Drosophila melanogaster: one gene and its partner. The protein of the gene in region 2 interacts with the protein of the main gene of each other region in a pairwise test. Each region holds a gene or a part of one and is shown on either strand. Other genes may lie near its edges.

Region 1 (4,960 bases), on a different chromosome or scaffold from region 2:
AACGCACGAAGAGAGAGCGGGAGTGCGCTAAACAAGAATGCAAATGAAACGACTCTCGCACGCACACACTTACGTTTAGGTGCTGGGGCAGACGGGCGCTCTTTGTTTGTCTATGTTGTAATTTCGATTTGGGGTACAAATTCCAATGGGCACACGAATGAAGAAGAAGAGCCAGCCACCGCGTACACGCACACACTGTACAGAGCGAGCGCGCGTATTTTTTCGACTCTGCGCGTGCCTGTGTATATGTATGTGTGCGGCTTTAATTTTATTTAATTCTTAGCTTTGATTCTTAACATTCGTATTGTGCTTCCCTTGATTTGCACAATTATGAAACCGCCGCAGTATGTTTCTCGAAACAAATCACAAAAGTTCGCCAGAAACAACAATAATCAAGACAATAATTCCGACGCAGTAGGAAAATTTATAAGAAACGAGACGCTGTATGTGTCTGTTATTTTTTATGCCCTCTTATTTTTCTAGGAACTGGCTCACACTCATACGTTGTACTACATTAATTTGACTAATGAAAACAATCGGTTAAATACTTTGAACACAACACGGAGGGAGAATACACTTATTTTTATTCCGATTTAGATTTTATGTAATTTATTTGGCCTTTTGTGGAGTATTATTTAATCGCACCACTACAGCACTACATCACACGAACTTGGGGCGTCGTGTATTTGCCTGTGTATGTATATCAATGCCAGCGCGCTATGGGTGTGTGTGTGTGCGTAGTCGAACGCCGCGTGCACGAAGCGACTGGTTTGAAATCCAATAAGAAACTATGGTCGGGCGAGACTTTGACTTCCAAGCATTTGGCTCGAGCAGCGAAACCGATGGGAGACGAGCGCCACCCGAGAGAACTCTCTTTGGCGTTGCCGCCCCCGCCAAGCTAACCCTCGGCGCTCTCAGTTAAATGGGGCCAAAGCAGCGCAGTCGTGTCGCCGCTGGCGTCACAATTTTTTTTACAAGGCGAACAAGTTGCGCGCCACTTTTGAGAGCGTAATTGTTGCACTGTAATTGTTTGCCAGTGACTTTTTATAAATAAACACGACGGGGCAAAGCGAAAACAAGTTTCAGTCGAAATCCACACAACTACATAAGGCCAAAGAGAGCGCACGCTCTTTTTGAAGAGAGAGAGTGAGAGAGAGAGAGAGAGAGAGAGAGAGAGGGGAGACGACCGCATTCCTAACTGTAAACAAGCAAGAAGCGGAGACACTATAAAAGTGGGAAAGAGACAAGGCGACAGGCTAAGAATGCGGCGCTGCTGGAAAAACTCGTTTTTCCCGCTGGAAAAGGAAAATATGGATAAAAAAGAATTCGAGGAATTTTCGTGCGAAAGAGAAAGAGAAGTGGTGTAAAAATAAACAAGAATCCGAACCCGATTACGAATACATACACAGGGCAACGAAGGAAGAGAATTGGAATAGCTGAAAAACAGAGCGGACAAAACAAAATGCTTGAAAAGCGAAGGGGCAGCTCAAAGCGGACAAGCTGATACGTAGTAAAACATACCAACGACGGCAACTTCAAATGTAAATAAGTATATAAACGAGGTATGTAAGCGGATGAGTGTGTGCAACAACAACAGTAAACCTAATGACAACAAACCGAGCAACAGACATGCAAGTGAAAGGCCTTTGCGTTGTTTCCCATCCACTACTCAAGTTATTTGCAAAATAAAAACAGCTAAAAGAAGACAAAGTGATGAACTCGGATCGGGAGAGAGAGGGGCATAATTTTACTTTTGGCTGCTTGCAAGAGAAAATAAAATAAATAATTCATTTATTGGTTGCTGCTAATAGATAGCAATTAAAAGTAAAAGAAACCACAATAAATTGTTGTTTAGAAACCAGCTGGAATCATTGTGTTTTTTTGCTGTGAATTTTTGTTGTTGTTTTTAAAGTATCAAGCAATTTGCGAGGCAATGAACTGCAGTTGTTAAATAAATTTAGTCAACCCCTGCGGCTTCATTAAACTTTTTTATGCATTTTATTTTCGTTGTCGGGTGCCTGCAAAATAATTATACACATCCACTGCCTATTTATGTCGAGTAATATAAGCATCTGAAAATGTATTCATAATCAACTCCATCTAGATAGCTTTTAAAGTGGTTGTTATACAGACAGTCGTTGAATTATCTTATTTTATTGCCCACTTAGTGAGGAGTTTATGGCTTTGATCTTTATATATTATACCAGCATGTGTTGTCAATGGAAATTTTTTAGATGAAATGTACGGAAATATTTAAATTTATTGGTAACAAGAATTGCAAAAAGTAAAAATACTTTTTTTTTTTGCTATATAGCTCAAACATTAAATTTCACAGCTTTATGAGTATTTCATTATTTCATGTCAATAAATTATTTTGCAGCTTTTGTATTTTGTAAACAAAAATTTGTACAACCAATTCAATTTTTTTTTCCAAGAACAATTTTGTGTAATTTAACGATAAAATTGATGGGAGGTATTTTCTCGAAAGCATTACTTGTAGTTTGTAAAAAAAGTTTTACTAAATTATTTTAATTAAAAACAACTTTAACAAATTGTACTTTCGCATTACCCCATATCTATGCTATAAACTTATTTTTTAACACCTTAACAAGTCTCATAAGCCTCATAAGATATATTCACTTAATCAAAATTTAAATAAATATAAGTATATATGTATCAGGGCCAAACACCGCACCTTTTTAAGACACTATTTACCTTGATAGACTTTATTTTGCGCACAACGTAGTTGTTAATTTTGTTGGACCAGCTTTTACATTTCATGATATTTTTCGCGTTCTCCGCCGTTCTCGGGGAGGATGAAGAGGCAAAGACAACGGTAAACGGATTGCTTTCGTCACTTGAAGTTGCTGCCCTCACTCATTTCAGTTTCATTTCGTTTTACCGGTTTTTGTAATATTTTTTTATTTGCTTCACTTTGCGATATTTATTCACTTGAGTTTTCACCGCCCGGCGACAGTTGCAAAACCTTTGTGATTGCAAATGGTAATTATACGTATACACGAAGACTCGGGTCTTACTCGCATTTCTTTTTGGCGCGATAAAAGGAAAATTGGACGTTGTGGTTTTTCCAACAGGGCGTCAAATTTGTATCCGTGATTACGACCGAACCCGTCAAATTTCCGATTCGAAATGAGTCGAAAAGGCGAAAGAAAAGGCAAGGAGAGCGCGCTAAACTGGGAACGGCGGCATTGGGCCACAGTTACCAAATCGTGAGCGCGGAGAACTGGAAGAGAGATAGAGAGTTATGGGGTAAAAAAGAGTGCGGAGAAGTGTAAGAATTTTCATTTGAGTTTTAATCGACACATGAATAATGGGAAAATTATGTTATTTTTTATTAAGTTAGCTTTAAATTTATATTTTTGTATTCTTTTTTAAATAATTAGTTTTTAACGGGTTTTGTTTGTTTTTCTTTGATTTTGCGTATATATTGCATCTGTTGAAACACGTTATTGTCACCCTAATGTTGGATAGCTATTAAATTTGGGTATTTCTGGAACTTTCTTGAATTATTTGCAGGTCTTTCGAAAAAACAGTTATGCATATCCTATTCATTTCACCGATTTGCAAGTCACGGTTCCGTTATTGCCGCGAGTGGGCAAGCTATTTGCGTTTTCTTTTACATTTCGAATGCGCCGCCCATTAATTATTTATTTATTAATGAGTAAGTGACGCACTTGTTTTCATCCACTTATTTGTTGTTACTGCAACGAATCTTGCTTACATTTACATACATACATACATAGGTACATAATTCCATCAAGATCATGCATCAGTGCCACGCCCCCATCTATAAAATGAAATTGTGGACAACGTCGCTGTCGTAAACTTCCAAGGCAATTATGTATGTATGTATGTGTACAAATGTGCATTTTCTGGAATTTAAACTATTCCCGCTCTCTTCGCGCACGGATCGTTCGTTGATCCGCACTCTGGGTTCCACATTAGCATAAGTGTAAGGCCTTCTACACAAACGCGTTCCACAATTCATTCACATCGCCTGTTCCACAACTTTCCGGCGTTCCGTCACGTTCGCGCGCCTTTTCCACCCAGCGTGAAAAAATTCACTTGCTGCTCCCGCTCCCGCTCACGGTTTTATTCTCGTTTTTACGTTTTACTACGAAGCGAAAACAAAACAAAATTAAGGGGAAGCGGAAACTGCAGTTGCTTTGGCTTTGCTGACGTGGATGCCGACGCTTTCGTCATCAAGTTTTTCTCTCACTTTGTTTTTTTTTCTCTTTAAGAAATATTGTAAATATTAGTTCTGTTCCTGTTATGGTTTTTTATCTTGTTAAGAAATATTGTAAATATTAGTTCTATTCCTGTTATTTTCTATATTTGGTTGAGTTTCCATTTATGTATTATTTAAATTTCCTAGCTTAATTTGTTTAAAGACTTACTTGTGAATTGCTGCGTAGTTTAAATAACACAGTTTAATAAACACATTTAATATTCAAAGACCTTATCAATTAGCAATATAAGTAATATTTCTTTAGTTTTTGTGTACTTGTGATAAGCACTCATTCAAACTGAACGGCGTTTAGGCTCAAATAAATCTATGAAAATTACAATTCGTCTTCATCGAATGAACTTTGACTGCATATTTTAGAAATGGTCGCGAATTTTCTTCTTACCTATTTTATTTTATATAATAATCAAATTCAATTTAATTTGTCTCACCCTTAGCGAGTTCGGTGGCTTAGTTAAAATCGTTTTTATTTGGCCTCTGCTTTTAGCATTTTGTGGCTAATTTATTTCTTGCTTTCTGCTAAAAAATATTTGAAATTAGCATTTTTAATGGGCAGCAATCGAGGTTCGGCGAGACACAATGTCGCCTGAAAAATATTTTTAAAATCCCATTTGCATATATTTTCAGCCAAGCGCTTAGTATAAAAAGCTAATTTCACGAAATCCCAGCTGATTTAGTCATCAACGGTGGGCT
Region 2 (5,159 bases):
TGCATCTTGGTGGTCACCTTCATGTAGTACGAATTCAGGTAGGTTAGGAAGCAGATGGTGATGGCTGCCAGGAGCTGTAACGCTATTTTGGGAATCTCACAGGCTCCGCCGAAGAAGGGTTCCAGCACGTAGGAGGCAAAGGTCAGGCCCATAATGGCATTGGTCGTTGGTCTGTCAGAGATAAGAGCACACAATCAGTGGAAATTTTTTTGCAGACTGCATTCAGACATATGTCCTGCTGATAATGTCCGCATGCAAAAGTAGAAAAGCAGATATTTTCGCTTATCGCCGATCCTAAACAACAAATATAGCAGGCAATAAAACGCTCAATGCAGAACTCGCGGAACTGTTCAATAAATAAACTTATATAGCGCAGATTAAATGATAAGGCTCGTTTCACTTTCTAATGCTCTAATACACAACCCATGGCTTAACCTTGAAAAACCGGATGCATCCACACCAATCCGAAGTATTCCATTCTTCTAGTCTTATCTGAGAAGTTATTAAACTTGACCCAGTCTAAAAATCAGATTCTGTAGGACTACTTCACTTCATTCAATCTACATACATATGTTATTTCGTTAAAAAAAACGTAAAAACGCAAAAAAGAAAAAAAAATGTCAGCTATTACTTTTACTCTAATGGGTTCCTTCTGGCGATAATAAAGTAATTCGAAATCAATTACCGAAAGGAATTTGATACTGTATTTATGTTTTTCGAACCAACTGTGATAAGGGAACTTTAACGGCGAAATATTCGCGAATATTAAAACAATATTGACCAGTAAGACTCACACGAATATCATCATGGCATCCCAGAGATACAGGAAAGCCGGCAGTGATCCGTAGGCCTCGAAGATATACGCGTAATCCCCCCCAGATTTTGGTATGGCAGTACCAAGTTCCGCGTAGCAAAGAGCACCAATCATGGACAGCAGTCCGCAGAGAACCCAGATGACCAGCGAAGCGCCCACGGACTCCACCTCCCGGATGACGCCTTTCGGAGAAACAAAGATACCGGATCCGAAGATGATGCCCAGGATGATGGCCACTCCTTCGAGGAGGCCCAGCTGCTTCTTGATCACAACCCTGCTGCTGTCTGACTCGGCGGATCCCTCGCGACACTGAGCTTTCTCGGCAGGATTAGCCGCTGGTTGGGCAATGCTGGAGGGAGGATTGCCGGAGCTGGGGGTCAGCAGGACCATTTCGCTGGACGGCGACTGCAGTTCATCGGCGGCGGGCATGGCGGCTATATATGTACGTATTATGTCCTAGGGCTATGGTATTATTATCCCGCTGCTCTGTGACACAATCTTCGCACGCGACGTCTGAAAGCGAACTGTAACTGTTTCTTTGGCCGTTGTCCCGTTAATTGATTAAACGAGGCAAGTGTGTTCGTGGGTGTGACTCCGTGTACATATGTGCGTGTGTGTATATTTCTTAATGTGTTTTTCAATTGTATTGTATTTGGCTTATCTACTCCTGCTCTTCCTCTTCTTCCTTTTCCGCCGGCTAGCGTTAGTTTGTTTTGGTCGGCTCTTCGCTAGCTGCCGTCTCGCTCGCACCAGCAACACACCCTGCAGTTGAGTCTATCGCACATAAAACTCGCGATTTAAAAGAACAATTCACACTCTGTCTCGCGGAATTCGGTTAATGGGTCTGGTAAATAAGGGCAGACATCGAGGTGTAACCGCCAAATTGTGCAAACTCTGCGGTTTAATTGTGGAATTGGCACAACGTTGCTCAAAGGTTTTTCAACCCCACGTTTTCTCGAGCATCGCAGCAGTGTGACCAGCGCCCGGCTGACTGTAGAATATCAATTGATGCTGGGGTGTTTTTCTTGCGAGCTACAGGGTGCAATTTTTTATTCAAAAATAATATATATACAATATGGCCCCGCCGACTTTCCCGCTGTCGGTCCCGTACATAAGGGTAAAATGAAATTGAAAACTGAATTTTATACATTCCATATATTGAAATATTAACGAGAATTAATATACAATTACTGCGTGAGCGTACGTGCTCTCACGTGCTCTCCTCTGATTTCTTATCGAAACGAAAAGTAGACCACGTCTATCGCCTATCGCCAATCGATATCAGTATCCAAATAGATGAGCTAAAAGCAAATCGACAGAGAAATACAGATCACAAAATGGATTTTGGGGACCTGCTGCGCTACGCGAAAAAAAATAGTGATGCGGTCACCAAGGAGGTGGTGGGTATCATGCAGATGTCCAGTTCGTCCATCGCGTGAGATTTTATGCTTGGAAAACGCGGTTGCGCCTGCATTCCCTTTGTGACCCAAAATAATTTATATTCGATCTGATCATTGTAATTTTTCTCCTCTATCGCCAGGGGCAGGGGAAATACTACAGCACCAAGTATTCGCCCCCCAAGAAGCAGTCCAAGGAGTCCAAGCAGCTGTCCAGCAACATCCAGAAGTTTCTCCAAAAGAAGGAGGCCGAGGAGGCGGAAAAGAAACGGCTGGAGCGCCAGAAACTCAACGATCTGCTCGCCAAAAGAGACGAAAAGTCCAAGAACAAGATACGTAAAATGCTAAAGGTAACCAAATCGGCCAACAAATCAGTGCTGGAGGATGCCAAAGACTACGAGGGGGCCATCGACGGCCACGAGGCGGGCGAGGGTCAGGGCGATGACTACGGCTACGTGTCCACTGAAGCGAATGCCTTTTACGATAAGTACATTGAAAAGGTACGCGATGTACAGGAAGACAAGGGATTCACGCCCAGCAGGCCACAGTCGCTAAAAGATCTCTCTGGGACCAAGGAGCGCGTGAAGGCGGCCATTACCAGGGAACGAGAGGAGGCCAAGGGTAACACACGTCAGAAAAGCAGCACAAGCACACTCCCATCCAGCGCTACCAAGTCGAAGGAGTCCTCCGTGGCCCGTTCTTACAGTACCTCCAAGACTCTTTATGATCCGAACGCAGAGAAGCTCGAGGAGGAGCGCAAAAAGCGGCAGGAGGAGGAGCAGCGCCGGGCGAAGATAAAACGACCTGCTCAGCCGCCGCCCATGGACTTCCAAGCCTTGCTTCGCTTAGCTGAAAAGAAACAGCACGAGCCCGTGGTTTTTGAGGTGGAGAAAAAAAAGGAACCAGAGCGTTTGTTGTCGGCCCGTGAGAAACGCGAGTTGGAAGAGCGCCAGCGGCAACAGGAGCAGCGCGCCCAGCGTCTCAAGATGCGCGAAAGTGAAGGCAAGGAGACTCCGAAATCCATCCCCAATCGCATGGAGCCTAACGGACGCATCCCCAAGCTTAATCAAGCCAAGCCAGCCAATGCACCAAGTGATAGTTTTAAAAAACCAACTGCCCCACAGCCAACGAAAAGCAGCGCGAGCTCCACCAGTTTATCCAGTTCCAATTCCCATTCCTCCGCCAGTCGCAGTTCTGTCTCGAGCTCAAGGCCCGCTACTAAATCAGCTCAATTGACTGCCAGACCTGGCGCAACTGCATCGGCGGTTGGAAAACCGAGCTCCAGCTCTAGCAGGGATGTCCCATCCAAGAACCCCTATGCAGCTACTTCCCTAAAGGGAACTGTAAGGGAGTTTCCACCTAGGGATCAGTCAAGCATCTCAACCTTGGATCGCCGAAAAATTCCGGCAGCTGCAAAGACGCGACAGACTCCTTCATCGGATGTTCAGAGATCACAGGGCGGGCGGCAATTCCCGCCCGCAGATGTCAAGAGACGAAAACCTAACGAGCCGCCAGTCACCAAAAGTAAATACCAAGTTTGATATTAAAAATGATTTTAGATTTCATATTTTGTTCTATTTTTAAAGGACGCATTTACGACGACGATGATGAGGATGAATACGATTCTGAGCTGGATGACTTCATAGATGATGGCGACTGTGAGGAGGATATATCTTCTCACATCCGCGACATTTTCGGGTATGATAAGCGTCGTTATCAAGGAATAGACGACGACGATCGTGGCATGGAATCCAGTTTTGCACAAGTGCAGCGCGAGGAGTTCATCAGCAAGAAGCTGGGTTCGTAGCAAACCGCATGACCAATAAAAACCCATAATAATGATTATATATTCGCAGGAATGCAAGAGGATCTCGAGGACATGCGCATGGAGGCGGCGCACAAGAAACAAAAGAAGCTCGTGGCGAAAATCAGCTCACGCTCCTAGGACGGTATTTCATCTCGACGTGGGCTAATCCGTCGCCATGTAAAGTGTACACCTGATTTATCTCTTGGGCTTAGCAACGAAAATTTAAGCCCACTCATTAGTTTTTGTTGTATTACGATGCAATAAGATGAAATGCAGAGTAGATTGACGGAAAGGAGAACAGGAAAACCAGAGAAGTGCACAGGAAGAAGCGAATTCTGATGAAGATTGGTTTGCTGAAAATAGCTTATTTTTATATCATATTTTAGTCGAATATCCATGGTTAATGCCACAATGATTATAGCGGGCTCATATTTGGTATATGTACAAGTACATATGTAAACAATATATAATTTTGTGTGCGGACGACTACATCGTGTAGCTGCCATAGGAACATTTGGAAAATTATTATAAATAATGGAAAATGAAAACTTTCTTGCGTTTATTAAAGTTATTAAGTTACTCTAAGAAGCTCTTTAACTTACAATTGTCGTTTATTTTTTTTATACAAATACAAAAATTAAAACAATCATGAAGTTTCGACATTCGTTGAATTGAAATCCTGATGTGCGTTTGCCATTTATGGTAAATCCATTTTGAAGACAATATCCTTTAGGATTTACTTCTTGTCCTTGGCCTGCAGCTTTGAGTGGATCATGTCCTTAAACTGCGACAGAATCTTGTTTTCGCGCTTCTGTCGCTCCTCCTTGCTGAACATGGCCAGTGCTCGCTTCTCGTCGGCGGAGTACAGCTGGTTCTCCTTGCGGATACGGACGGCCTCCATGCGACGATGCCTGCTGCCGCTCATCACATAGCCCACGGACTCGAAATTGGCGATTTCATCGGATGTTAGGCCGATTTCACCACGGCGAGGAATTCTCTTGCCCTCGGCAATGTAGGCAGCCATGGCGGCACCTTCTCCTGGCAGCAAGGCCTTGCCGAAGTCCTTTTGATTAAGACTACCGCCGGGTCGCAGCGAAGGTCCAACGTCCTCGTCGTTGTGCGAGGCACTTTCCTTGTTCTT

Evidence for each region.
Region 1: the proteins of CG5815 (region 2) and Pdk1 interact in a two-hybrid assay, tested with the Drosophila melanogaster proteins (one large-scale study listed by BioGRID).

The regions. Positions count from the first base shown.
Region 1 is NT_037436.4:127,644-132,603, reverse strand, and holds the start of Pdk1 (Phosphoinositide-dependent kinase 1), read right to left. Parts: upstream 3,155-4,960; 5' UTR 2,782-3,154; coding exon 2,716-2,781; intron 1,875-2,715; exon of another isoform or gene 1,033-1,874; intron 793-1,032; exon of another isoform or gene 74-792; intron 1-73.
Region 2 is NT_033777.3:27,110,477-27,115,635, forward strand, and holds CG5815 (uncharacterized protein), read left to right. Parts: upstream 1-2,089; 5' UTR 2,090-2,151; coding exon 2,152-2,214; intron 2,215-2,354; coding exon 2,355-3,735; intron 3,736-3,797; coding exon 3,798-4,010; intron 4,011-4,067; coding exon 4,068-4,156; 3' UTR 4,157-4,650; downstream 4,651-5,159. Other genes in the region: gb (genderblind), read right to left, coding at 1-171, 795-1,243; CG6066 (uncharacterized protein), read right to left, coding at 4,755-5,159.